Linked DNA regions of Anolis sagrei. The main gene of each other region encodes a partner of the protein of the gene in region 2 in a complex. Links are inferred from orthologs where the notes say so. Each region holds a gene or a part of one and is shown on either strand. Other genes may lie near its edges. The genes, in order: MED20, MED16, CCNC and MED7.

Region 1 (7,722 bases), on a different chromosome or scaffold from region 2:
AATACCAGAGTGGGATCCTAAAGTATAGAATAGGTTCTTATTGTAATCAATGGGATAGTGGTCAAAAGGGTTTTTTTCCAGCTGCAAAGAAGAACTAGTTATGGACATGCATTGAAAATGCATTGTTATCCTTAGCTTCACTTACTTTGACTTTGACCACGCATGGGTAAACTTGGGCCCTTCAGGTGTTTTGGACTTCAACTCTCACAATTCCTAACAGCCTCAGGCCCCTTCCTTTTCCCCCTCGGCTGCTTAAGACACATGACCTTGGAGGCGTACGGTCTTCGGCTTAGAAATGGTGATGAGCATCATCTCCCAGAGTTGGGTACGACTAGACAATGTCAGGGGAAACCTTTACCTGTATAGTATTAGATCTAATTTTAATAGCAACTCCCATGCTACCAGAAACTACAGAAATTGCCATTTATCTATCCCATGACTTAACAGAGAGTCTACTGCAGGGGTCCTCAAACTTTTTAAACAGAGGGCCAGGTCAGAGTCCCTCAAACTATTAGAGGGCCGGATTATAATTTGAAAAAAAAAAAACACGAATGAATTCCTATACACTTAAAAACAATACAATAATTATAATGAAGAACAATTTTAGCAAATATAAACTTATTACTATTTCAATGGTAAGTGTGTGCCTGCTTTTAGCTGATGAGATAGGATTGTTGTTGTTGTTGTTGTGTGCTTTCAAGTCATTTCAGACTTAGGTAGACCCTGAGCAAGGGCCGGGTAAATTACCTTGGAGGGCCGCATCCGGCCCCCGGGCCTTAGTTTGAGGATCCCTGGTCTACTGTATATGGTTGAAACATCTTATGGCAATGCTATGAAAATACAGTTAATATCACCCTTAGTTCATTTACTTGGACAAAATATAGTAGACTCTGAGTTAACCACAACTCAAGCAGCCAGAACTCTCGGGTAACCGGGGGGGGGGGGGGGGATCAAAGAAATAATGTTGTTGAAGGCTTTCATGGCCAAAATCACCGGGGCCCCTTCCACATAGCTGAATAAAATCCCACATTATCTGGGATATATGGCAGCGTGGACTCAGATAAACCAGTTCAAAATAGATATTGTGGGATTTTCTTCCTTGATATTCTGGGTTATATGGCTGTGTGGAAGGGCCCTGGGTTGCTGTGAGTTTCGGGCTGTAATGGCCATGTTCCAGAAGCATTCTCTCCTCACATTTCGCCCACATCTATGGCAGGCATCCTGAGAGATTGTGACATTTGTTGGGAACTAGGCAAGTGGAGTTTACAGGCTTTGAAGCTGCAAGCCCATTCAATGTTAATCAAGGTGACCGATTACAACATTCACACTTGCCTCCATCAGACAAGAGTTATTTCTCCCACTCTGGACATTCCACAGATATATAAACCTCACTTGTCTAGCTTCTGGAACATGGCCAGACAGCCCGGAAAACTCACAACAATCCAGTTAAACAAAACTTTTGCTGTGTTTTGTAACATAACCAATTGGGAAATGACGTTTACAACCCAGAAACAAACATTGTGTTACACAGTGTGATAGAAAGGCAGAGTTAGGCCTATTTTTATTACTTGGCTGTACTGAAGGAGTTGGGGATGATGGCAGTTGTAGTCCATCGCATCTGGAGGATGGCGGGGTGTTTGGTTTGTTTAATCCCAGGATGGGCTTAATAATGTGATGTCACGTGCTTTTTGCCCACTCACCCAGGACGGTGGTCTTCCTCTTGGGCTCCTCTCTGCCGGAAAGGCCATGCTCGGCCTGCAGCTCCTCCTGCTGGATCCGCGCCTGCTCCAGGATCTTCCGGGAGAGCCGCTCGTCCACGTACTTCTCCTCCTCCTCCTCCTCCTCTTCTCCTCCCGCTCCCCCGCCATGCAGGCCGGCTTTGCCCCTCCGCTTCACCCGCCGACTGGGCTTCACCGCCTCGCCCTGCAGGATCTGCTCGGCCAGAGGCACGCTCACCCCGGCCGCCGAGGAGGCCCCTCGCACCCGCTTCTCTTTCGGCATGATCGCCCAGACACGTGGGGGAGAGGAAAGGCTAAGACGCATGCGCCGGAAAGAGAAGGCCAGAAAAGGGGCGGGGCTTGCGACCGCAGGGGCGGAATAGATATAGAGCAGAGCTTTCCCAACTTTTCACGCTTTTGAGACCAATCAGGCGTGGGCAAACTTGGGCCTTCCGGGTGTTTTGGACTTCAACTCACACAATTCCTAGCAGCCGGTAGGGCTCAAGTTTGCCCACATCTCTAATATTTTGCATATACATTTGGAAAATTGTATATGCAAAATATCAGACAGATGGAAAGCTATTTAACCTCAGCAGACTGAAAGCCAAAACCAAGGTGACAACATCTATTACAGAAGTCCAATATGCTGATGATAACATCGTCTGTGCACATTCAGAATTTCTACATGCCACTCTAAACACCTTCGCAGAAGTATATGAAAAGCTTGGCCTGTCATTGAACATCGAGAAAGCCAAAGTGCTCTTCCAGCAGTCACCAGCCAATCCCTCTCCAATGCCAGAAATATAGCTTAATGGTGTAACATTAGAAAATGTTGATAATTTCCACTACCTTGGCAGCCACCTCCCCACAAAAGTCCACATTGACACTTAAATACAACACCGCCTGAGCTCTGTGAGTGCATTTTTACGAATGAAGCACAGAGTGTTTGAGGACTGGGACATCTTGAAAGCATGGCTATTTCAGTGTGCCTTCCCTGAATAAAGGAAACAATGCCCTAATTTGATCAATTTTCTGCAATATGTCCTCTGAAGCACTACCCGTTGGATTTATTTCCCTACATTACTCTCTAACCGCCCCACCCCCCGTTTAGATACCCTACTTCTGTTCACACCCAGTATTTTAAAAATTTAATCTACTACATCCGGCCTTTCCCACAGTCTTTTAAATCTCTTGTGTGTTACTGCTTATATGTTATTTATGATATTGTACTGTGTTTTATTTGCTTGCTTGCCTTGTTTTCTACTGATGTATTTTGTTGGGCTTGGCCTCATGTAAGCCGCCCGAGTCACCTTGGGGAGATGGTGGCAGGGTATAAATAAAGTTATTATTATTATTATTATTATTATTATAAACTAGCTGTCCCCTGCCACGTGTTGCTGTAGCCCAGTCTGTGCATATGTGTTTTGTGTGTGTGTATATATGTGTTTATGTATGTGTATATATTTGTGTATATAAGTGTGTGTATATATGTGTATTTATATGTGTGCATGCATATTGTGTATATGTGTGTGCTTGTCTATATGCATATTTGTGTGTGTGTGTGTGTGTGTATATATATATATATATTATTTATTTTATTAATCAATTTTATATACTTCCACTCGCCGAAGTCTCGGAGCGGTTTACAATATACACAAGAAAAACTTTGATCAACAAAATTCAAATGCCACCCTAAATAAATAAGTTTTACAAGCTCTACGAAAAGCAAGTAAATCTCGGAGAGCTCCTGTTCCTGCTGGCAAAGCATTCCATAGATAAGGAGCCACCACCGTGAAAGTTCTACGCCTAGTAGACATCAGGTGAATGGTCCTAAAATTGGGAACTTCAAGGAGATTCTGATCGTCTGAACGAAATATTATGTGGATATGTATATGTGTGTGCATGTGTATATGTATATCTGTGTGTATCTGTGTGTATGTGTATGTATGTTTGTGTATATGTGTATATCTGTGTGTGTTTGTGCATATATATATGTGTGTGTGTATGAATGTGTGCATGTGTATATGTATATGAGTGTATGTGTATCTGGACACATTGACAAGCTGGAATGTGTCCAGAGGAGGGCGACTGGAGAACAAGCCCTATGAGGAGCGGCTTAATGAGCTGGGCATGTTTAGCCTGAAGAAGAGAAGGCTGAGAGGAGACATGATAGCCATGTATAAGTATGTGAGAGGAAGTCATAGGGAGGAGGGAGCAAGCTTGTTTTCTGCTTCCATGGAGACTAGGACGCAGAACAATGGCTTCAAACTACAAGAAAGGCGATTCCATCTGAACATGAGGAAGAACTTCCTGACTGTGAGAGCCATTCAGCAGTGGAACTCTCTGCCCCGGAGTGTGGTGGAGGCTCCTTCTTTGGAAGCTTTTAAACAGAGGCTGGATGGCCATCTGTCAGGGGTGATTTGAATGCAATATTCCTGCTTCTTGGCAGGGGGTTAGACTGGATGGCCCATGAGGTCTCTTCCAACTCTATGATTCTGTGTATATGTAAATATGGTATTTTTGGGGGGGTTTTAAGTCTGTTCGGCTGGGGTTTTGTGTGTGTTTGTGTGTGTGTTTACAGGTGATGGTCACACGTTGGACTGTTAGGTGTATTGTGTCTAAATTTGGTGTCAATTCGTCCAGTGGTTTTTGAGTTATGTTAATCCCACAAACGAACATTACATTTTTATTTATATAGATGAAATACAATTTTAAACCTAAATATACGTATATATAAAGTAGATCTTAGGAAGTTGTTTCTTGATTTAAAACGTCAATATGCTGGCTGATATCCGAACAGAGGATGGGCCGGAGGTGTCAATACTTTCCTCCCTACAGGAAAGCCTGGCTCCACTTTCTTTTGCTGGATGGGCAATGCAGGACCACCTGAGTTGGAGGTGGGCCTGCATTGCCTGCTCCGGCCGCCAGGGGGCCGCTTCCGAGAGGAGGCGGCGAGGACGACACTCGCCCGCATTCCCCGCGATGACGTCACTTCCTTTCGGCGTTCTTCCCTCCGAGGAGGCGAGGCTGTGTGAGGCTCCGCGAAGACCGCCGGGCAGAGGGCGCTGAGTGAGGCTGAGAAGTCTTGGGCCACCTTTCCGCCCGGGTTCACGCCTCCCCCGCGGAGGAGACAGCCGAGGAAACATGGGTGTCACCTGGTACGGCTTCCCAAGGCTGCTGTAGCCTTAGCCAAACATTTTACCTTGAGACCGTTGCATGTTTTTGCTTCTCAGTGTCGGCCAAGATGGAGGCCTGCTGCGATTGTGCTTGGATGTACATTCGTTTCAAGAATGAGGGGTCGGGTATGGAGTGTAACGTGTGAACGAGCGAATGACGAGTGTCAGGGGCAGGAGAGGGACCTGGTGACAGGTAGGGTTACTACAGGCATGGGCAAACTTCGCCCCTCCAGGTGTTTTGGACTACAACGCTCACAATTCCTAACAGCCGGTAGGCTGTTAGGAATTGTGGGTGTTGTAGTCCAAAACACCTGGAGGGCCGAAGTTTACCCATGCCTGAGTTACTAAATCTCCTCAATGTAATGCCAGGGGAGTATCTGCCCCTCATCCGAATTGCTTGGCGCCAGACAAGTTTGCGATTTCAGGTATTTTTGTGTGTGGGATTTTTTTTTTTTTGCATCGCCTAATTGCTAAGCCTAATCAAACCAGTCATTTATGTTTCACGTACACATAACATGTATATGAAACATAAATGTTGTGTTTAGGCTTGGCTCCCATCTTCAAGGTGTTAGTAAATAAGATATTGACACCACCTGCATGTAACACAGGTATGGAGAAACCCACGCCCGGGAGCCGAATGCGGCCTCTTGGACTCTTTTTGCAGGCCCTCCTCTCGCTCACCATCCTATCCTTCCTTCCTTCCCTCTTTCCTTCTGCCTTTCCCCCTTCCCTCCTACCCTTCCAGTCTTCTGTCTTTCTTCCCTCTTTCTCTCCCTCTTTCTCCTTCCTTCCTTCCCTTTTGTCACAGGGAGGAGGGAGCAAGCTTGTTTTCTGCTTCCCTGGAGACTAGGACGCGGAACAATGGCTTCAAACTACAAGAGAGGAGATTCCATCTGAACATTAGGAAGAACTTCCTGACTGTGAGAGCCGTTCAGCAGTGGAACTCTCTGCTCCGGAGTGTGGTGGAAGCTCCTTCTTTGGAAGCTTTTAAACAGAGGCTGGATGGCCATCTGTCAGGGGTGATTTGAATGCAATATTCCTGCTTCTTGGCAGGGGGTTTGACTGGATGGCCCATGAGGTCTCTTCCAACTATGATTCTATGATTCCTTCCCTCTTTCCTCCCTCCCCGCATTCCCTCCACCCTTCCTTCCATCCATCCTTCTCTTCTTCCCTTTTTACCTTCCTTCCTTTTCTTTTTCCTTCCTTCTTTCCTCCTGGGGCATGTTTACCTGGGGGAAGAGAAGGTAGAGAAGGAACATGAGAACCAATTTTCAAGATCTAAAAGGGTGTCCCATTGAAGAGGAGGGGGAAAACCAACTTTCTGCTGCTCTAGAGACCAGAACACAAGGAAGCAATGGGTTCAAATGGCAGGGGAAAAGATTAGGAAGAATTCCTGAAAGTAAGAGCTGTTGGAGAGTGGCCTAGGCTGCCTGGGAGTGTGGTAGAGTCTCCTCTGGAGACTTTTCCGCAGAGGCTGTCTGTCGGGAATGCTTTAATTGTGCCTTCTTGCTTGGCAGGGGGTTGGACTGGATGGCCCTTGAGGGTCCTTTCCAGCTCTAGGATTCTATATCAGGAGTATGCAGTATGGGGTCTAATAGATACACTTTTTCCTCTCGTATCCACCTCATCCTGACCAAGGCTAACCTTTTGGGATCCAAATGTTTCCCATCTTTCCTTTGCTTTCTGCCTCCGAAAGAGAAGAGGAAGGGGAGGAAAGGGCAGGGAGGGGACTTGGAGAGAATCCCCCTGCTCCTGGCCTGCCCACCCTGCTCCAGCCTGCCATGAGGCCCCCAAGTTAGAAAGTTTGCCCATGCCTGATGTAACATATTGAAGATGGGAGCCAAGCCTAAACACAGCATATATGTTTCATTTACACATTATACACGTAGCCTGAAGGCACCTTTATGCACAGTATTTTAAATAATTTGGTACATTGAACCATCAGAAAGCAAAGGTGTCAATATCTCAGACACATGTGGGAAATTTGGGATTTCTGGATAAAAGATACTCAACCTGTAGCATTAGATTGCCGTTAATGCAGTTTTAATACTCCCTTGGGTGGAAAGGGATCATGAGTGGAAAAAGTTAAACCCTGATCTAGAGCACCATTTGTTGGAAAGCTAGGAAATAAATGTAAGAGATAGATAAATTAGCTTTGGCTTTCATTTTTCTTTATTCACCAATGTGAAGTGAAAGGGCAAAGAGGCTTGGAGGAGATGGAATGTTTTAAAAGGCATTTTCTCTCTGTTTTGTATCAGACATACACAATGCAGCATAATATAGAAATCTGGATATGGGTCTAAACATCTGATTACTTGTCTTTCTCTGTTCTCCTCCCTTTGTTATCTTCCACCTCATTGAAGTCTTTGTAAGGTTCTTATGGCAGGAACCTGACTTTTTGTTCCATTTCCTCCTCTTTCTCTTATTATAAGGCATTGAGTATGTTAGTAGGTAACATGTAGTAGTATGTTACTATATAAGATAAACTATTTTATTTGGTAGCACATGAAGTGGAAAGTAGCAGTGATTCTTACCGTGTTTTGAAACTTATTTTCATCAATGGCTTTTCTCCCTTGTTAGTGTATCTCAGATGCCCATAGCAGAAGGGAAAAGTGTCCAGCAAACAGTTGAAATCTTAACACGAAAACTAGAACTACTTGGAGCAGAAAAACAAGGAACATTCTGTGTAGACTGTGAAACATACCACACTGCAGCTTCCACAATGGGCAATCAAGGTAAAAATTAATTTTTCTACCATAATTGGTGCATTCACTTCCTTCAAGCAAATGTAATGGCATTCAATTTGTAAAGAGAAATTTAAGGGCCTC
Region 2 (6,929 bases):
GATGTTGAGAGAGCTAGGATTTGTGCTCGCTTCGGCAGCACATATACTAAAATTGGAACGATACAGAGAAGATTAGCATGGCCCCTGCGCAAGGATGACACGCAAATTCGTGAAGCGTTCCATATTTTCTTGCCAAAATAGATCCTTCTTTTGCTTACTTTCCATCTATCGATTCCCTTGCCTTTGTTTTTCATAGGCAATGATTTGGATCTTTTCTTTATAGAGCTGCCAAGCTGCAAAACCCGATTGGAAGGCTAAGTAGGGAAATTGGGAAAAGAAAGGCATTATATAGAATCATAGAGTTGGAAGAGACCTCATGGGCCATCCAGTCCAACCCCCTGCCAAGAAGCAGGAATATTGCATTCAAAGCACCCCTGACAGATGACATTATTAATTATATATTAATAATGTCCTGGAGAATCAGATAACAACAACAACAACAACAACAACAACAACAACAACAACAATGTCCTGGAGAATCAGCTAATCATAATCTATATATATATAAATGCTCTGTGCATAACGAGTACCCTAAAAACAAAAGAACCAATGAACGAAATCACACCAAATCTGGCAACAAAACATCTCACAACACAAGGAGTGACCATCACTCAAAAAATTATGATTTTGTCATTTGGGAGTTGTAGTTTCTGGGATTTATAGTTCACCTATAATTAAAGAGCATTCTGGACTCCACCAACGATGGAATTGAACCAAACTTGGCACACAGAACTCCCCTGACCAACAGAAAAAACTAGGAGGATTTGGTGGGCATTGACCTTGAGTTTTGGAGTTGTAGTTCACCTACATCTAGTGAGCACTGTGGACTCAAACAATGATGCATCTGTACCAAACTTAGCATGAATACTCAATATGCCCAAATATAAACACAGATGGAGTTTGGGAGAAATAGACCTTGACATTTGGGACTTGTAGTTACTGGGATTTACAGTTCACCTACAGAAAATGCTGTGTTTTCTGGTGGTCTTTGGCAACCCTTCTGACACCTCCTCGCAAAGTGGTCCCAAACCCCAGGTTGGCAGCTCTATAAAGAAAAGATCCAAAAGTCTGCAGGTGCAAGAAGGTACTTTCCCTCAAAAGGTCAAGGGAGGGGGGCTGGAAAGAGAGTACTTTCCATGACCAAAAAACCCCTTGTATTACCTGAGTATAAAGGTTTGCAAAAAGCCAAGGAGGGCGCGACAGTCTGTGAAATCACTTGCAGAGTTGCTGTCTGTTCACCTCATGCGGATCAGGTTGAATAAACGGTGTCTTACATGAACGTATTGGACTCTGTGGATTTCTTCGAAAAGGGACCCCACACCCTAAACCCGTGATCCTTTACATGTTTAGCCTGAAGAAGAGAAGGCTGAGGGGAGATATGATAGCCATGTATAAATATGTGAGGAAGCCACAGGGAGGAGGGAGCAAGCTTGTTTTCTGCTTCCTTGGAGACTAGGACACGGAACAATGGCTTCAAACTACAAGAAAGGAGATTCCATCTGAACATGAGGAAGAACTTCCTGAATGTGAGAGCCGTTCAGTAGTGGAACTCTCTGCCTAGGAGTGTGGTGGAGGCTCCTTCTTTGGAAGCTTTTAAACAGAGGCTGGATGGCCATCTGTCAGGGGTGCTTTGAATGCAATATTCCTGCTTCTTGGCAGGGGGTTGGACTGGATGGCCCATGAGGTCTCTTCCAACTCTTTGATTCTATGACATCATTATCGTCGTCATCATCATCGTATTATTATTATTATTCTCCAGGGCATTATTATTATTATATTCATAGAATCATAGAATCAAAGAGTTGGAAGAGACCTTTGTTGGACCTTGTACTCTTGGCTGAGTTTGTTTTCCAGCAAATATCGGGATAGTTGAAATCACCCATGACTTCTACATCTCTTCTCTGTGCCTGTTTGGTCAACAGTTGGCAGAAGACTTCAAGTTTTTCCTCCTGGCTTGGAGGTCTGTAGTAGATGCCTACAACGAGATCTTTTTGAGTCCCAGTTCCCTTGATTCTTATCCAGATGCTTTCAAGCTGGTTTCCCGGATTGCTGTCTTGCATCTCTTCTGCAGCATAAGAGTTTTTGACATATAAGGCTACTCCGCCTCCTCTCCCCTTTGTTCGGTTTCTGTGAAAGAGGTTATAGCCCTCGATGTCTACATTCCAGCGATAGGAGTCATCCCACCAGGTTTCTAATAATAATAATTATTATTATTATTATTAGCTGATTCTCCAGGACATCATTATCATCATCATCATCATATGATTCTCCAGGGTATTATTATTATTATATTAATAATAATAATAATAATAATAATAATAATAATATATAATATATTATTATATTCATATTATGATTAGCTGATTCTCCAGGACATTGTTGTTGTTGTTGTTGTTGTTATTATATGATTCTCCAGGACATTATTAATATATAATAATTAATAATGTCATCTGTCAGGGGTGCAATATTCCTGCTTCTTGGCAGGGGGTTGGACTGGATGGCCCATGAGGTCTCTTCCAACTCTTTGATTCTATAATGCCTAAGATCCAAAAAAATGCCTATGAAAAACAAAGGCAAAGGAATCGATAAGCAGTGGTTCTCAACCTTCCTAATGCTGCGACCCCTTAGTATAGTTCCTCACGTTGTGGTGACCCCCAACCATAACATTTTCATTGCTACTTCATAACTGTAATTTTGCTACTGTCATGAATCGTAATGGAAATATCTGATATGCAGGATGTACTGTATTTTCGAATACCCAATATGCCCAAATTTGAATACTGGTGGGGTTGTGGGTGGATTGAGTTTGTCATTTGGGAGTTGTAGTTGCTGGGATTTATAGTTCACCTACAATCAAAGAACATTCTGAATATCACCAATGATGAAATTGAACCAAACTTGGCACACAGAACTCCCATGGCCAAGAGAAAATACTGGGAGGATCTGGTGGACATTGACCTTGAACTTTTGGAGTTGTAGTTCACCCACATCCAGAGAGCACTGTGGACTCAAACAGTGATGGATCTGGACCAAACTTGGCGCGAATACTCTATATGCTGAAATGAGAACACTGGAAGAGTTTGAGAATAATAGACCTTGACATTTGGGAGTTGTAGTTGCTGGGATTTATAGTTCACCTACAATGAAATAAGATTCTGAACCCCACCAATGATAGAATTGGACCAAACTTCCCACACAGAACCCATGATCAACAGAAAATATATGTTTTCTGATGGTGTTTGGCGACCCCTCTGACACCCCTTCGTGACCCCCACAGGTTGAGAAACACTGTGATAGAGGATGGAAAGTAAGCAAAAGAAGCATCTATTTTGGCAAGAAAATATGGAACGCTTCACGAATTTGCGTGTCATCCTTGCGCAGGGGCCATGCTAATCTTCTCTGTATCGTTCCAATTTTAGTATATGTGCTGCCGAAGCGAGCACAAATGCTAGCTCTCTCCACATTGTATTTAAAGCATGACTATTAGCATATTTTAACATTATGGTAACTATAATTTACACCCGAGTTATTCATCGATAACCGGATTGCAAATCTTGTAACATATTTAATCTTATATCTTCCATTTATCTTTCATATTTCAATATTATAATGGAAAAAATCCCGTTTTAATTTCTCCCTTCTTTCCAGTGCTGATGGGAAAACGCATATGCAAATAATACCCTCCCTCTTGGCCCAAGAGTCTTGGGGCTTCTCGCTTAAGGATTTGTCTATTGTATTGCCTGAAGAAAAAAAACAAAACATTGTATTCTACTATGACATGACAACGTTTGAAGACAAACGGAAGGATTTCAATTCTTCACTCCAATTAGATACTTTGAAGAGCGATCGGGAAAGAAGAAAAAAAACACTTCCGTAGAAGGAGTGTATACTTCCGTTGGGGGCCATCAGGCAGTTTTATAGACAACTATATTCTGAGGCGCGCGTGAAACAGAAGAGTTTGCGCAGGCGCAGTGTGGTTGGACGCTTCTAAAAGAACCAGGTGAGTAGGGGTGGGGTGGAAGAGTTCATTTCTAATCGAAAGGGGGGGATTTAAAGCCACACCCGCCTAATCTAAGGTTTTAAAAAGCGTGGAGAGCAGCTTAATTGGAGTGAATGTAATTTTAAAAAAATATCTGATTTCTTTTGTTAATTTCTTTGGCTTTTGATTTCTTGCATTGCTTGGAGCAATGGATGCAATTCAGCCAAAGGCTTGCAATAGCTGCAAATCAGAATTGCATCAGAGTTGATGAACCTAAAATAGATAAGATAGAAGTTTCTTAGGAGATCCGAATAGGATTGTCTTCCAAGTGTAGTCCGTAGGTGACTGTGGAGCCCTATTCTTGATCTGCATGTTCTCCCTTTCCATTCGAAATCTGCAGCACTGCTGGTCACAGCTGACCTCCAGCTGGAGTGCTCAAAGGCCAGGGCTTCCCAGTTCTCAGTTTCTATGCCAGAGTTTTTAAGGCTGGCTTTGAACCCATCTTTAAATCTCTTTTCCTGCCCACCAGCATTCCGTTTTCCGATCTTGAGTTCGGAGTAAAGCAACTGCTTTGGGAGACGGTGGTCGGGCATCCGGACAACGTGGCCGGTCCAGCGGAGTTGGTGGCGGAGGACCATCGGTTCAATGCTGGTGGTCTTTGCTTCTTCCAGCACGCTGATGTTGCATGAAACCTCCCTGGGTAAAATTATTATTTGTTCCTTTTGTGCCTGCAGCAGAGAGTTCCAAAGGCTGCAGGCACTTAAAGTGTACTTGTTTGGCTCTGCGTATGTTCAGACAATCAGGAAACTAGGTACAGACTGACTATAATCACTTAATACAGCGTTTCTCAACCTTCCCAATGAGGTAAAGGTAAAGGTAGTCCCCTGACACTAAGTCCAGTCATGTCTGACTCTGGGGTGTGGTGCTCATCTCCATTTCTAAGCCGAAGAGCCAGCGTTGTCCGTAGACACCTCCAAGGTCATGTGCCCGGCATGACTGCATGGAGCGCCCTTACCTTCCCGCCGGAGCGGTACCTATTGATCTACTCACATTTGCATGTTTTCGAACTGTTAGGTTGGCAGAAGCTAGGGCTGACAGCGGAAGCTCACGCCGCTCCCCGGAATCGAACCTGCGACCTTTCGATCAACAAGCTCAGCAGCTCAGTGCTTTAACCCACTGCGCCACTGGGGGCTCCCAATGAAGTGACCCCATAATGCAGTTCCTCATCTTGTGTTGACCCCCAACCATAACATTAGTTTAGTTGCTCCTTCACAACTGTAATTTTGCTACGGTTATGAATCATAATGTAAATATCTGAGATGCAGGATGTATCTTCATTCACTGAATCACATTTGGCACAAATATGAAATATGCCCACATTTGACTACTACTGGTGGTGTTGGGGGGGATTGATTTTGTTATTTGGGAGCTGTAGTTGCCGGGATTTATAGTTCACCTACAACCAAAGAGCATTCAGAACACCAACGAAGGAATTGAATCAAAATTGGCACACAGAACTCCCATAACCGCCAGAAAACGCTGGAAGGGTTTGGTGGGCACAGACCTTGAGTTTTGGAGTTGTAGTTCACCTACATCTAGGTAGAGCACTGTGGACTCAAACAATGATGGATCTGGACCAAACTTGCCACAAATATCCCATATGCCCAAATATGAACACAGAAGGAGTTTGGGGGAAATAGACCTTGACATTTGAGAGTTGTAGTTACTGGGATTTATAGTTCACCTACAACCAAAGAGCATTCAGAACACCAACGAAGGAATTGAATCAAAATTGGCACACAGAACTCCCATAACCGCCAGAAAACGTTGGAAGGGTGTGGTGGGCACAGACCTTGGGTTTTGGAGTTGTAGTTCACCTACATCTAGGTAGAGCACTGTGGACTCAAACAATGATGGATGTGGACCAAACTTGCCACAGATATTCATATGTCCAAATATGAACACAGATGGAGTTTGGGGGAAATAGACCTTGACATTTGAGAGTTGTAGTTACTGGGATTTAAAGTGTACCTACAACCAAAGAGCATTCAGAACATCAACGAAGGAATTGCATCAAAATTGGCACACAGAACTCCCATAACCGCCAGAAAACGCTGGAAGGGTTTGGTGGGCACAGACCTTGAGTTTTGGAGTTGTAGTTCACCTACATCCAGAGAGCACTGTGGACTCAAACAATGATGGATCTGGACCAAACTTGCCACAAATATTCCATATGCCCAAATATGAACACAGATGGAGTTTGGGGGAAATAGACCGTGACATTTGAGAGTTGTAGTTACTGGGATTTAAAGTTCACCTACAACCAAAGAGCATTCAGAACACCAACGAAGGAATTGCATCAAAATTGGCACACAGAACTCCCATAACCGCCAGAAAATGCTGGAAGGGTTTGGTGGGCACAGACCTTGAGTTTTGGAGTTGTAGTTCACCTACATCTAGGTAGAGCACTGTGGACTCAAACAATGATGGATCTGGACCAAACTTGCCACAAATATTCCATATGCCCAAATATGAACACAGATAGATTTTGGGGAAAATAGACCTTGACATTTGAGAGTTGTTACTGGGATTTACAGTTCACCTACAATCAAAGAGCATTCTGACCCCCACCAATGATAGAATTGGGCCAAACTTGGCACATGATCTACATGGCCAACACTGAATACTGGTGGGGTTGGCAGGGCTGTTTTTGAATTCTGGGAGTTGTAGTTCACCAACACCAAAAAGGAAGAGAAGGACAGGCAGAGAGATTTTGGGCCAAATTCCTACACAGAACCCCCATGACTAACAAAAAAACCCCTGTGTTTTCTGATGGTCTTTGGCGACCCCTCTGACACTCCCTCGTGACCCACCCAGGGGTCCCGACCCCCAGGTTGAGAAACGCTGCCTTAATAAATTGGTTACCCTGAACTCTGTGCTTCTCTGGCCC
Region 3 (6,923 bases), on a different chromosome or scaffold from region 2:
CTTAATGTGTGCATCAGTACTCTGTGATTTCTGTATAATCATCATCCATGCCTCAAATTGGTTCCAGGATTTTCTACGTAATCATCAGTAAAATAACTTTTAAAAAACAGTTTGAAACTGTATGAAATGATCAGTGTAGAAGGGGCCTGCAAAAACTTACATTATGTATTTTAAACTGATAGTTCATGTTGTATTTTGATATGCTGCTGTCCCCCACTATGTGGAGATAATAGGTAACAATAATAATAACAACAGTAATGATTGCATCAGCTTCTTTCTCTCAGGGTATATCTACACTGTTGAATTAATTCAGTTTGGCACCACAGTTTGCCATGCCTTAATGCTATGGGAGCTTTGAAATGGTTGAACAGCAGCTCTCGGAAGCTTTATGGGCTCTTACTGCCTATTGCAGGGAAAAACAACTGATCCCTAATCCATCTAAAATGCAGACATGTGTTTTTCACCTTAAGAACAGACTAGCATCTCAAATTCTGAGGATTACCTGGGAAGGAATCCCACTGGAGCCTTGCAGCACACCCAAATACCTGGGAGTTACCTTGGACCGTGCTCAGACCTATAAGAAGGACTGCTTGAATATCAAGCAAAAAGTGGGTGCTAGAAATAATATCATACAAAAGCTGACTGCCACAATCTGGGGATCACAACCAGATACAGTGAAGACATCTGCCCTTGCACTTTGCTATTCTGCTGCTGAGTGTGCATGCCCAATGTAGAATATTTCAGGATGTCTATGCCCCACACCACTGCAGAAATTATACTGTTTAGCCGGTATTGCACCACCTGTTATCCATTGGTAAGTAGCAGCCAGTAAAGAAAGGACCAAGGCGTCGACATATCCAGCCCATCCTTTGTTCGGATATCAGTCAGCAAGCAAATGCCTTAAATCAAGAAATAGCTTCTTAAGATCTACAGAGATACTCGCAGGAACACTTCAGCAAGCTAGAGTCCAAAAGTGGCAGGCTAAAACCCGAAACATCAATCAGTGGCTGATACCGAATGAGAAACTCCCTTCCTGGGCACACAGAAGACTGGGTGACTTGGAAAGCACTGAACAGACTGCACTCTGGCACCAAGAGGTACAGAGCTAACCTTAAGAAATGGGGCTACAAATTGGAGTCCACGATATGCAAATGTGGAGAAGGGCAAGTGTGTAGTAAGGGACCACTTACTACAATGCAGTCTGAGTCCTGCCACATGCACAATGGAGGGGCTTCTTATAGTGACACCAGAGGCACTCCAAGTGGAAAGCTTCTGGTCAAACGAAATGTAGGCCTGTTTATTGCCCTGCTTCTCTCCTTAGGGTTCCATTTGGTGCATGTTTTCAATGTTCTGTTTATGTGAGCCTTTTCCCTTTGTGTGTGTTTCACATGGCTAAATTTTTCTAACACTAAGACAATCTTCAATTGATTTCTAAGGCTAAGACTATTTATTTAATCGAACTATTCTTCATACTTCATACCTGCACTTTCCTATCAGCCCTGCCCTTGCAACTGTTTTGCACAAGCTCCTGCCTCGCCCCTCAGCTCAATATATGGCCTCTAGGTTAGGTTATTGGATGTTTTGATTGTGGATGGTTATGTTTTTATGATGTTTTGTAGTTGAATTTTACTGTGTTATATTTTAAATTTCTGCTTGTCTGGGTTTGGTCCCCATGTAAGCCGCCCCGAGATGGTGGCGGGATACAAAAGTAAAGTTATTATTTTATTATTATTGCTATTATTTATTAATAAAATGAAATCAGGTCCCTTGTCCCCTTCAGTATCATAGAGCCAAGGTATTAACTTTGTTTGAAGCTTTTAAAAACATTATAAACTAGCCGTCCCCTGCCAAGCGTTGCTGTGGCCGTCTGTGTATATGTGTTTTGTGTGTGTATATATGTGTATATGTATTTGTGTATATGTGTGGTTTTGCGCATGCGTTGTAATGGTTTTTGTTTTTTGGCTTTTTAAGTCTCTTCTGCTGTGTTTTTCAGTGGTTTTATGAGTGAAGAATCAGAAACTCAACATGCCTTTGGATGAAGCTGTGCAGAGATCCAAGGAGATCATTCAAAGGAGATCATTCCAAGGTCACTAATTGGCCTGATAGGTGTATTGTGTCCAAATCTGGTGTCAATTTGTCCAGTAGTTTTTGAGTTATGTTAATCCCACAAACGAACATAACATTTTTATTTATATAGATACATAAATACATTTTAAATACATTATAACTTTAACATTATAACTTTATTTTCAATTTGCTTCAGACACGATAAATAAAGATACTATGGGATCCTGGGAGCTGTAGTTTAGTGAGGCACCAGCCCTGTTTGGCAGAGTAGGCGAGAGACCTTATAAAACTACAACTGCCAGGACTCCCTAGCATTAAGCCGTGGCAATAAAAGGCATTCATTTTACAGTGTGGGTTCACCCTCAACTAATCTGCACTTAGGCAATCCCTCGTTGGATGAGTAGGATAGTCTTCCAGGGTCAGTATTCTTGTGGATCCGTAGGTGGCTGTGGAGCCCTATTCTTGATCTGCATCTTCTTCCGCATTGAGGGCAGTGGTTTCCAGGTGGAAGGCGATCTCTGTCGGGGTTGGCTTGATGCGCCTTCCTCTTGGCACGCTTCTCTCTTTCACCCTCCATTCATGCCTCTTCAAATTCTGCAGCACTGCTGGTCACAGCTGACCTCCAGCTGGAGCACTCAAGGGCCAGGGCTTCCCAGTTCTCAGTGTCTATGCCAGAGTTTCTAAGGTTGGCTTTGAGCCCATCGTTAAATCTCTTTTCCTGTCCACCAACATTCCGTTTTCTGTTCTTGAGTTTGGAGTAGAGTAACTGCTTTGGGAGACGGTGGTCAGGCATCCGGACAATGTGGCCGGTCCAGCGGAGTTGATGGCGGAGGACCATTGCTTCAATGCTGGTGGTCTTTGCTTCTTCCAGCACACTGACGTTTGTCTGTTTCTCTTCTCAAGAGATTTGCAGGATTTTCCGGAGGCAGCGCTGATGGAATCGTTCCAGGAGTTGCATGTGACATCTGTAGACAGTCCACATTTCACAGGCATAGAGCAGGGTTGGGAGGACAATAGCTTTATAAACAAGCACCTTGGTATCCCTACGGATGTTCCAGTCCTCAAACACTCTCTGCTTCATTCAGAAACATGCTGCACTCGCAGAGCTCAGGCGGTGTTGTATTTCGGTGTTGATGCTGACTTTAGTGGAGAGGTGGCTGCCAAAGTAGTGGAAATGGTCAATATTTTCTAATGTTACACCATTAAGCTGTATCTCTGGCATTGGAGAGGGGTTGGGTGGTGACTGCTGGAACAGCATTTTGGTTTTCTCAATGTTCAATGACAGGCTGAGCTTCTCGTATGCTTCTGCGAAGGTGTTTAGAGTGGCTTGTAGATCTTCTTCTGAATGTGCACAGACGACATTGTCATCAGCATATTGTTGTTCTATAACAGATGTTGTAACTTTGGTTTTGGCTTTCAGTCTGCTGAGGTTAAACAGCTTGCCATCTGTCCGATAGATGATTTCCATTCTGGTGGGAAGCTTCCCATCAACAAGGTGAAGTATCATAGTGATGAAGATGGAGAATACAGTTGGGGCAATAATAAAAATGTTGACGCCTGATTTTACCTTAAATGGGTCACTTTGGGACCCACTGCTGTCCAAGTCTGTTGTCATCATGGAGGAGCTCAGGATGTTCACAAATTTATTAGGGCACCCGATTTTTTGGAGGATGGTCCAGAGGGCGGTGCGATTCACTGTGTCGAATGCCTTTGCTCTCAACTAATAAGTCCAGGAGAAGCGGGAATACGGCTTGTCCCTATTGAGAGGGGCGGAACCTTTTTTCCCCGGAACGGATGCGCGCGGCAGCGGAAGCAGGCCGGGACACAGAGTAGGCGCGCGCAGCCCCGGGGCCGAGTCTGCTGCTGCCGCGGCCCTGATGAGCTTGGTGGCCGGGTGGGCGCTGCCGAGTCCTTCCTGTTCCTGGAAGAGAGAGCCCGGGGTGGGTCGGCAGGGAAGAGACCCGGCAGCGAGCCCCGCGCCCTCTTCATGGCAGGGAACTTCTGGCAGAGCTCGCATTAGTGAGTGAACCCCTCGCCCCTCTCTGGTGGGGGGCCCTGGCTGTGGGGGAGCGGGGAGGGGAAGGCTTTTCAGGATGCCACGCCACACACTTCCTGGCCCTGCTGTTTTGAAGGGGGCTCCTGGAATCCCGGGCCACAGGAGGACTGAGGGGTGTTGGCAAACTTGGCAAGGAGAGTGTTTAATTGCTATAGAGCAGGCATGGGCCAACTTGGGCCCTCCCTCCAAGTGTTTTGGACTTCAACTCCCACCATTCCTAACAGCCTCAGGCCCCTTCCTTTTCCCCCTCAGCCGCTTAAGCTGTTAGGAATGGTGGGAGTTGAAGTCCAAAACACTTGGAGGGAGGGCCCAAGTTGGCCTATGCATGCTATAGAGAATAGAGATGATTATGATATTTTTATTTCTCTCTAGAATTGGCACAACATGGACATCATCTGTGCTGTAGAATTAATGCAGTTTGATCCCATTCTTAACTGCCACATATTCAGGATATTCAGGGAATTATAGTTTTGCAAGGTCTCCTACAGGAAAGTGCTGGTGCCTCACCAAAGGACAAAAAACGCCCTCCTCTCCCCTCAATGGCGTAGTGGGTTAAACCATTGTGCCAGCAGAATCCAGGGAGCGGGTTGAGCTCCTGTCTGTCCGCTCCAGCTTCTTATGAGGGAACATTAGAAAAGCCTTCCGTAGGATGGTAACAAATCCGGGCATCCCTGGGCAATGTCCTTGCAGACGGCCAATTCTCTCACACCAGAAGTGACTTGCAGTTTCTCAAGTCGCTCCTGATATACACAAAAAAACCCCCAAAGGACAGAGAAGGCTAAAGACCTTGTAAGATTACAGCTCCCAGGATTCCATGGCATTGAGCCATGTCAGATGGAGTAGAGACAAGCAGCATTAAAATCAATAATCTAGATAGACCCTTTTGTAGAACAGCAATATTAATATCAAATTAAATCCATAGTTTAAAATTGAGTTTTATGTTAGCTGTGAGGTGCTGCCTTTTGGGGCGGAAGGTATAGTGCAGGTTTTAGTATCCCTTATCCTTACCAATTTTTAAAAATAATATTATATTGGCATACATATTTTTCACATATATAAAACAATGTTCAGGGAAAAGCTACACAAAATATCCATATTTACATTACAGCACTAAAATCCAAACATTGCTCAGCGGGATAATATTATATGATATATTTGATGCAATTCCCTTTCAAGGAATTGAATGTTTGTCTTTGTTTTTCTGTATGCTGGAATCCGCCCCAAGTCCTCTATCGGTGGTGTTCAACCTGTGGGTCTCCAGATGTTTGGGCCTTCAATTCCCAGAAATCCTAACAGTTGGCAAACTGGCTGGGATTTCTGGGAGTTGTGGGCCAAAACACCCGGGGACCCACAGGTTGAGAACTATTGTGTTAGTGTGTGGCTGCAGTGTGTAGGCGCGCCACACAAAAGTAACAAGTAGTGTGTAGGCGCGCCACACAAAAGTCTACATGAAATAAGCAATAAAGCGTTTTTTTAAATATATATAAATCCAAAGTTTTCATGAGATATGTTGTGCTTCCAAACATTTTGTTATTACAATTTGTATAAATCTATATATTTTTTTATAAGGAGTTGGTTTAACCTCCAGTTTGCTAGTGAAACTGAATTACTGTGAGGCAAAATGATACATGCCTAAAATGAATGTAACATACATGAAATGTTTGGAAAGCTTTTCTTTAAATATGGAACGCGGGACTAAATAAAAGGGCTGTGCCTGTAGGTACAAAGAAGCTAGAGAACGAGGCCAAGCAGATCTGTGGGAAGGAGCCCAAGAGCAGCAGACTCTTTCTCATGTTTTCACTGATAGTATCTATGATGGTGACAGGACAGTTAAAAATAATGGACCTTTAAATAGTCTGGATCCAATTTCAAATTTGCCTTTGAAATAGCTACCAAAGCAGAAAAATCATAGTTTATCACAGGCCAGCTTTCCCCCCAGTTAGTTACTTTTTCTTATAGCTAATAGTTCAGAAAACAAACCCAAAAGGAAACAAATTACAGTAGGTTGCTGTGAGTTTTCCAGGCTGAATGGCCATGTTCCATAAGCATTCTCTCCAGACATTTAACCCACATATATGGCAGGCATCCTCAGAAAATGTCAGGAGAGAATGCCCATACAGCCTGGAAAACTTGGCCACACAGCTTGGAAATGGCCTAGCAATTCTGGCCATGAAAGCCTTCGACAACACAAATTAACAGTAGTTTTCAATATGATTAATTGAATATGCAGAGAAGTTTGTTATTTTGGCATCAGGCTGTAGAATGAAAGTTGACAAGCATGTTTAATACATGCAATACTCAAAATTGGTTTAAAAGATGTACTCTCTATTTTTTCTTCCTTTGCAGCTTGCAATGGATTTTGGATAAACAAGATCTGTTGAAGGAACGCCAAAAGGACTTAAAATTTTTGACAGAAGAAGAATATTGGAAGCTACAGATATTCTTTACGAATGGTAACATGATTTCAGTTCTAGTTTGCCCCACTGATGTGTGTTGCAGTTGTATTGCTTTGTGCTAACTTCACAAAACATGCAAAATTATAAAGCAAGAAGATTTATCTGTTATGTACCTAGCGAAAAGAAACTTGGACATGCTTGCAGCAGAAGCTTAAGCATTCAGCTTAAATCTAGCACTGTTCAACATAGATTATTTTATTTTCCTACTTAGGTGATGAAACTATCATCACCCCCTTTAGCCCCTCCATTTGTACTGGAGGTCCCCCAGTTTTTAAAAGTAGATTGCAAGAGAATATTATGAAAGGTAGAGGGAGCAGAAATTACACTCCACACTGTTTCATGGA
Region 4 (6,968 bases), on a different chromosome or scaffold from region 2:
ACAGTCATATAATCCAGAACATCAAGGCAGATACTCCACAATATCTGCTTTGAACTGGATTATCTGAGTCTGTGCTGTCAGATAATCCAGTCCAATGTGTGGAAGGGGCCTGTCAATTGTTTCATGCATAGAGGTTTTGCACTTTTTCATCTGAAAGGGGATTTTCAGTGTATTGTCGAAGGCTTTCATGGCTGGAATCCCTGGTTGTTGTAAGTTTTTCGGGCTGTATAGCCATGTTCTAGAAGCATTCTCTCCTGACGTTTCACCTGCAACTATGGCAGGCTTCCTCACAACCTCTGAGGATGCCTGCCATAGTTGCAGGTGAAACGTCAGGAGAGAATGCTTCTAGAACATGGCTAGACTGCCTCAAAAACTTACAACAATACAGAGATTTCCGGTGTTTGTCACCAATTTCCTTTCACAAAACCAAGGGCCCTTCCACACAGCCATACAACCCAGAATATCAAGGCAGATAATTCACAATATCTTATTTAAAGTGGAATATCTGAGTCCACACTGCCATATAATCCAGTTCAGTGTGGAAGGGGGCCAAGAGTCGACCACGGTATCCTTCTGGGACACCTCGCAGGGATGGGTCTTGGAGGAACTGTTTTGCAGTGGCTCCGGTCATTCCTGGAGGGTCGATCTCAGAAGGTGTTGTTGGGGGACACCTGTTCAACCCCACAACCATTGTCTTGTGGGGTTCCTCAGGGCTCAATATTGTCTCCCATGTTGTTTAACATCTACATGAAGCCGCTGGGGGAGATCATCCGGAGTTTCGGGGTACGGTGTCATCTGTACGCGGATGATGTCCAACTCTGTCACTCCTTTCCACCTGCTACTAAGGAGGCTGTCCAGGTCCTGAACCGGTGCTTGGCCGCTGTGACGGTCTGGATGAGGGCGAACAAATTGAAATTGAATCCAGACAAGACAGAGGTACTCCTGGTCAGTCGCAAGGCCGAACAGGGCATAGGGTTACAGCCTGTGTTGGATGGGGCCGCACTCCCCCTGAAGACGCAGGTTTGCAGCTTGGGTGTGATCCTGGACTCATCGCTGAGCCTGGAACCCCAGGTTTCGGCGGTGACCAGGGGAGCATTTGCACAGCTAAAGCTTGTGCGCCAGCTGCGCCCGTACCTTGGGAAGTCTGACTTGGCCACGGTAGTCCACGCTCTGGTTACATCCCGTGTAGACTACTGCAACGCTCTCTACGTGGGGTTGCCTTTGAAGACAGCTCGGAAGCTCCAACTAGTCCAACGCTCGGCAGCCATGATTTTAACAGGAGCGGAGCGCAGGGAGCATACAACCCCCCTGTTGCGCCAACTCCACTGGCTACCGATCTGCTACCGGGCTGAATTCAAAGTGCTGGCGTTGGCCTTTAAAGCCCTAAACGGTTCCGGCCCAAGCTACCTATCTGACCGCATCTCTGCCTATGAACCCACCAGGACTTTGAGATCTTCCGGGGAGACCCTGCTCTCAATCCCGCCTGCTTCTCAAGCTCGGCTGGCGGGGACGAGAGATAGGGCCTTCTCGGTGGTGGCTCCTCAGCTGTGGAACGCCCTTCCTACGGACATTAGACTAGCACCATCTCTAATGGTATTCCGCAAAAAGGTGAAGACCTGGATGTTTGTGCAGGCGTTTGAGTAATTTAGTGCAATCTGGTAATGGAACATAGGAATGGAACAATGGACGACGAACCTGGACTACGCTTGGATGATGAGAAGATTGGGTACGGTTGTTTTTTGTAATAATTGTGCATTGTAATTGCTTATTGTTAATTTATGGATAATGTGTTAAGTCAATTGTTATATGTTGTATGGAACCACTGCTGTTTCTACTGTTTTTACTGTTTGTGAACCGCTGTGAGTCGCCTTCGGGCTTGAGATACAGCGGTATATAAGTAAAGTAAGTAAATAAATAATAATAATAAGAGTCAGATCACTGACAAAGCAGGGAAAACTCACAACCCAATATAAGCTCACTGCTGCTCTCTGCTGCCATAAGAGAGGCATAACAGGAAAAAATATTACTGTACTTTGCAGTAACAAGGCCTTCCTTTCAAAGTATAAATAATATGTAGCATTATAAATTTCCTTGTTCAGGATCTAACTAACTAGTACTAGTACACTACTATAGATTGTCTATGCAATTTAGTCTTCATGCTGTGTTAGAAACAACAGAAAATATCTTCTGATTTTCTATATAGAAATGGGGTGATATAAAGAAAACGAATATTGCATAAAATATAAAGGAGAGAGGTGCATTATGATCTGGCAAGCTTTCATACTAATGTATATTGTTTTAAAATGCATATCTTATGTTTATGGGTTGCTTTATATATGTGTGCTTTGATTGCTGTTGTTTTGTACTGTATTTAGTATGTTGGAAGCTGCTTTGGTAGCTTCCTTCGTGGGAGAAAAGTGGACTATAAAGAAAGCACCATTAAAGCCTTGGCAGACCACGCAAAAAGAATCTGCGAACCCCACCTCCACCAAGATGAACTGAACCACCTCAACTGGGCTCTACAGGCCAATGGATACTCCACCTCAGACACCAGAAGAGCTGCAAGACCAAGAACAAGCCACGAGAGTCAAGATGAAGATCCACCCAGAGGAAAAGTGTTCCTGCCATACATCAAGGGAACCACTGACCGCATAGGGAAGCTGATGAGGAAACACAACATACAAACAATCTACAAACCCACCAAGAAAATCCAACAAATGCTACGTTCAGCAAAGGACAAGAGGGATCCTCTCACCTCTGCAGGAGTCTACAGTATACCATGCAGCTGTGGACAAGTCTACATAGGGACCACCAAACGCAGCGCCCAAACAAGAATCCAAGAACATGAAAGGCACTGCAGACTACTCCAACCAGAGAAATCAGCCATAGCAGAGCACCTGATGAACCAGCCTGGACACAGCATATTATTTGAGAACACAGAAATGCTGGACCACTCTCACAACCACCATGTCAGACTACACAGAGAAGCCATTGAAATCCACAAGCATGTGGACAATTTCAACAGAAAGGAGGAAACCATGAAAATGAACAAAATCTGGCTGCCAGTATTAAAAAACTCTAAAATTACAACAGCAAAACAACAGAGGGGAAACAATCAGGCACATCTAATCACCTCTCAACAAAATATTGCCCCAGGCACTGCCAGGCCATCAAATGCTAATCAAGGTGGTCAGTTGAAACATTCACACCTAGCTCCAACAGACAAAAGTTCTTTGTCCCACCCTGGTCATTCCACAGATATATAAACCCCTTTTTCCTAGTTCCAATAGACCTCACTACCTCTGAGGATGCTTGCCATAGATGCAGGCGAAACGTCAGGAGAGAATGCCTTTAGACCATGGCCATATAGCCCCAAAAAACCTACAACAACCCAGCGATTTATTGTCGGGTTGCTGTGAGTTTTCCAGCCTGTCTGGCCATGTTCCAGAAGCATTCACTCCTGATGTTTCGCCCACATCTATGCCAGACATCCTCAGAGGTTCTGAGGTTAGTTGGAAACTAGGTAGGTGAGGTTTATATATCTGTGGAATAATGTCCAGGGTGGGAGAAAGAACTCTTGTCTGTTTGAGGCAATTGGCCAGCTTGATTAGCTTGATTAGCTTCAAAGCCTGGCTGTTTTCTGCCTGAATTCTTGTCTGCTTGAGGCCGTTAGGAATTGTGGGAGTTGAAGTCCAAAACACCTGGAGGGCTCAAGTTTGCCATACCATACCATATGTGTATGTATTTACACGTGGGGGGAAGGGGAGGGAATCATACTCCAGAGCTCCTGATTGACGTCAGGAGCAGCCAATCAGAGAGAAGATCCTTTTCTTCCCCTGCTTCAGGGCAAATGCTCGCTCGCTTCCCTCCATCTTTGCCTCCGCGCGGCTCTCGCTGACGCCATCCCACGTCAGCCAATAGGAAAATTAGATGGGGGAGGGGCTGTTTGCCGGATGTACGTCACCAGTTGGCGAGGGAAAGGGAGGAAGGAGAGCGCAGGCGTAGGAAGCGGGGCTTCCGGTGGGAGCGCGGGTGTTTGGTGCTCTTGTTCCGTGGGGAAGCCGAAGAGAGGAGAGGGAAGCCGGCCTCGTCCGAATTGGGAGCCCGGGGCGAGCGGAGAGCTCCTCCGCGGGTGGGTGTCGCTGCCCGTCAAGGGTCTGTAAGGCTCATCCGTTTGGGATACGTCTAACACAAGCCTGGGCAAACTTGGGCCCTCCAGGGTGTTTTGGACTCCAGCTCCCACCATTCCTAACAGCCTCAGGCCCCTTCTGAGGCTGTTAGGAATGAGGCTGTTAGGAATGGTGGGAGTTGGAGTCCAAAACCCTGGAGGGCCCAAGTTTGCCCAGGCCTGGTCTGCCACATACATTTCATGCAGTCTGACACCACTTTAACTGCCTTAGTTCAGTGCTATCGAATCCAGGGTGTTGCAGTTTGTTGAGGCACCAGAGGAGGCTAAAGACCTTATGAATCCACATCTCCCATAGCACTGAGCCATTGAAGATAGGGCCCTTCTAGACAGGCTCAATATCTCAGGATCTGATCCCAGGTATTCTGTTTATCCCAGATTATCTGGCAGTGCGGACTTATATAATCCAATACAGGGAGCATACCACCCCCCTGCTGCGTCAGCTCCACTGGCTGCCGGTCCACCTCCGAGCACAATTCAAAGTGCTGGTCTTGGCCTATAAAACCCTATACGGCTCCAGCCCAGCTTACTTATCCAAACGTATCTCTCTCTACGTTCCACCTCATAATTTAAGATCTTCTGGGGAGGCCCTGCTCTCGGTCCCACCAGCGTCTCAAACATGTCTGGTGGGAACAAGGGACAGGGCCTTCTCAGTGGTGACCCCCCGCTTATGGAATTCGCTCCCCAGCAAGATTAGATCGGCGCCCTCCCTCCTTACTTTTAGGGAAAAAACTAAATACGTGGTTTTGGAACCAGGCGTTTGGCTAGTGGGCACAACAGCACTTTAGGCACTGAACTCAGACAATAGGATTGTTTGAAAATTGGAAATGGCTTTATGACCTGTGATTCTGTGATATGTCCTATGTGGTTATGCAATTTTAACTAATATCACTACTTAATTGTTATGTAATGGATTTCATATTGCTGTTTTATATTGTTGTTTTGATACTGTTGGCATTGAATAGTTGCCTGTGTTAGCCGCCCTGAGTCCCCCCTCGGGGGTGAGAAAGGCGGGGTAGAAATGGTCTAAATAAATAATAAATTTAAAGCAGAAAACCTGGGATAATGGGCCTGTCTGGAAGGGCCCTGGGACAACTGTCACTGTCTGGAGCCTGGAGGATGGCAAAGGAGGAGGGGAGGGAGGCCTTGAACCAATCTTGCAAAAAACAAAAACAGCCCGGTGATGGGGTTGCATTAGGGTCGCCAAAAGTTAGAAAGTACTTGAAGGCATACAAAAACAGTGTTTCTCAGGCTAAAGCTCCCTTTATTATTATTATTATTATTATTATTGACACAAAAGCACAGTATGTCACAGCAAACGAGATCTATATGCTGGATTTCGTATCACAAAATCACAAGTCGAACGCTTCCCAAGCGTCTAGGACTGTGTGATGTATTTTCGAATGATGCGCACAGATCCAAGTAAGGTGGCCTATTGCAATTGACAGATCGTGATTTTGTCAATGTTTATTGTTTCCAAATTTCGGCTGAGATCTTTTGGCACAGCACCCAGTGCTCCAATGACTACTGGGACCACCTGTACTGGTTTATGCCAGAGCCTTTGCAGTTTGGTTTTGAGGTCTTGATAGCGGCTGAGTTTTTCCTCAATGCGACTGTCACCCGGTATGGCGACGTCAATAATCCAGACTTTTTTCTTTCCCACAATCATGATGTCTGGTGTATTGTGTTCCAAAACTTTGTCAGTCTGGATTCGAAAGTCCCACAGTATTTTTGCAGGTTCATTTTCCACGACCTTTGCGGGTTTATGATCCCACCAATTCTTTGCTGCTGGCAGGTGGTACTTGTGACATAAGTTCCAGTGAATCATCTGAGCCACAGAGTTGTGTCTTTGTAGTCCGTCTGTGCAATTTTCTTGCAACAGCTGAGGAGATATTATCATTATCATTATTATTATTATTATTATTATTGCATTTATATTTATACCATGCTTTTTCTCTCCACAAGGAGACTCAAAGCAGCTCACGTTGGAAATGTGTTGCCTTGCCATCCTTTCAAAAACTGCAGATGGAGGGGCTCTGCTCACTTAGTGGTGGTCTCAGTGTTGTCATGTATAATGTTTTTGGCGTATTTTTATAAGTTATCCTTTTTATTCATTTATATCCATCTTTCATGGGTCTCAAGGCAGCTAACAATATATATAAGGGTACAAAAACAATTAAGCAATTTATAAACTTAAAGCATTAAAATATTAAAATGCCTTTGTGTCTGTCTGTGCCTTTGGGTCACCTGTTGACTTATGAATTTCATAGAATTTTCTTCTGTCAGGAATACTCTGCCAATTCCTTCCTCTGAAGTACAGGCTACTGCGCCTGGTATTTGTTGGTGGTCTCCCACCCAAGTATTGACCTGAGCTGACACTTAGCTTCAAGGATTGGAGGGGATCTGGTGCATTTGCAGTATGATAAACCCTTCAAAAAAGGCCTTAAAATACATGTTGATGTGATTGTATTTAAACTGTTTCTCCTTCCCTCACTGGAGCTAAAGTCCCAGCATGCATTATTTTGGGGAGAGCCCTTGAATACTATTGAATGCAAACCAAATTGGAGAATTCTCCCACAGAGAAGTTTCACCAATTTATAATGAGTTATTCAAAATACTTTTGTTGTGGTGATTTTTAAATTACTTTTTATTTCGTTCTTTTGTGTTCTGCTTAATTGTATTCTAGTGTTCTAACCTTTAAAAATACATTTCTCTTAATTTGTATTATAAGTTTCATTTTAATTTTAGTATAACATGTATTTATAATACAGATAGAAACGAG

What was found.
Region 1: MED16 (region 2) and MED20 share a complex: the UniProt entries of both Homo sapiens proteins name them as parts of the mediator complex. The link is inferred for Anolis sagrei from reciprocal best matches to the Homo sapiens genes MED16 and MED20.
Region 3: MED16 (region 2) and CCNC share a complex: the UniProt entries of both Homo sapiens proteins name them as parts of the mediator complex. The link is inferred for Anolis sagrei from reciprocal best matches to the Homo sapiens genes MED16 and CCNC.
Region 4: MED16 (region 2) and MED7 share a complex: the UniProt entries of both Homo sapiens proteins name them as parts of the mediator complex. The link is inferred for Anolis sagrei from reciprocal best matches to the Homo sapiens genes MED16 and MED7.

What each region holds. Positions count from the first base shown.
Region 1 is NC_090024.1:191,063,446-191,071,167, reverse strand, and holds the start of MED20 (mediator of RNA polymerase II transcription subunit 20), read left to right. Parts: upstream 1-4,697; 5' UTR 4,698-4,862; coding exon 4,863-4,876; intron 4,877-7,474; coding exon 7,475-7,629; intron 7,630-7,722. Other genes in the region: bystin, read right to left, coding at 1,701-2,043. UniProt on the Homo sapiens protein: Component of the Mediator complex, a coactivator involved in the regulated transcription of nearly all RNA polymerase II-dependent genes.
Region 2 is NC_090034.1:57,074,404-57,081,332, forward strand, and holds the start of MED16 (mediator of RNA polymerase II transcription subunit 16), read left to right. Parts: upstream 1-3,911; 5' UTR 3,912-4,000; intron 4,001-4,508; 5' UTR 4,509-4,664; coding exon 4,665-4,679; intron 4,680-6,929. UniProt on the Homo sapiens protein: Component of the Mediator complex, a coactivator involved in the regulated transcription of nearly all RNA polymerase II-dependent genes.
Region 3 is NC_090021.1:99,275,932-99,282,854, forward strand, and holds the start of CCNC (cyclin-C), read left to right. Parts: upstream 1-3,903; 5' UTR 3,904-4,054; coding exon 4,055-4,086; intron 4,087-6,469; coding exon 6,470-6,576; intron 6,577-6,923. UniProt on the Homo sapiens protein: Component of the Mediator complex, a coactivator involved in regulated gene transcription of nearly all RNA polymerase II-dependent genes.
Region 4 is NC_090022.1:80,580,604-80,587,571, forward strand, and holds the start of MED7 (mediator of RNA polymerase II transcription subunit 7), read left to right. Parts: upstream 1-3,957; 5' UTR 3,958-4,155; intron 4,156-6,968. UniProt on the Homo sapiens protein: Component of the Mediator complex, a coactivator involved in the regulated transcription of nearly all RNA polymerase II-dependent genes.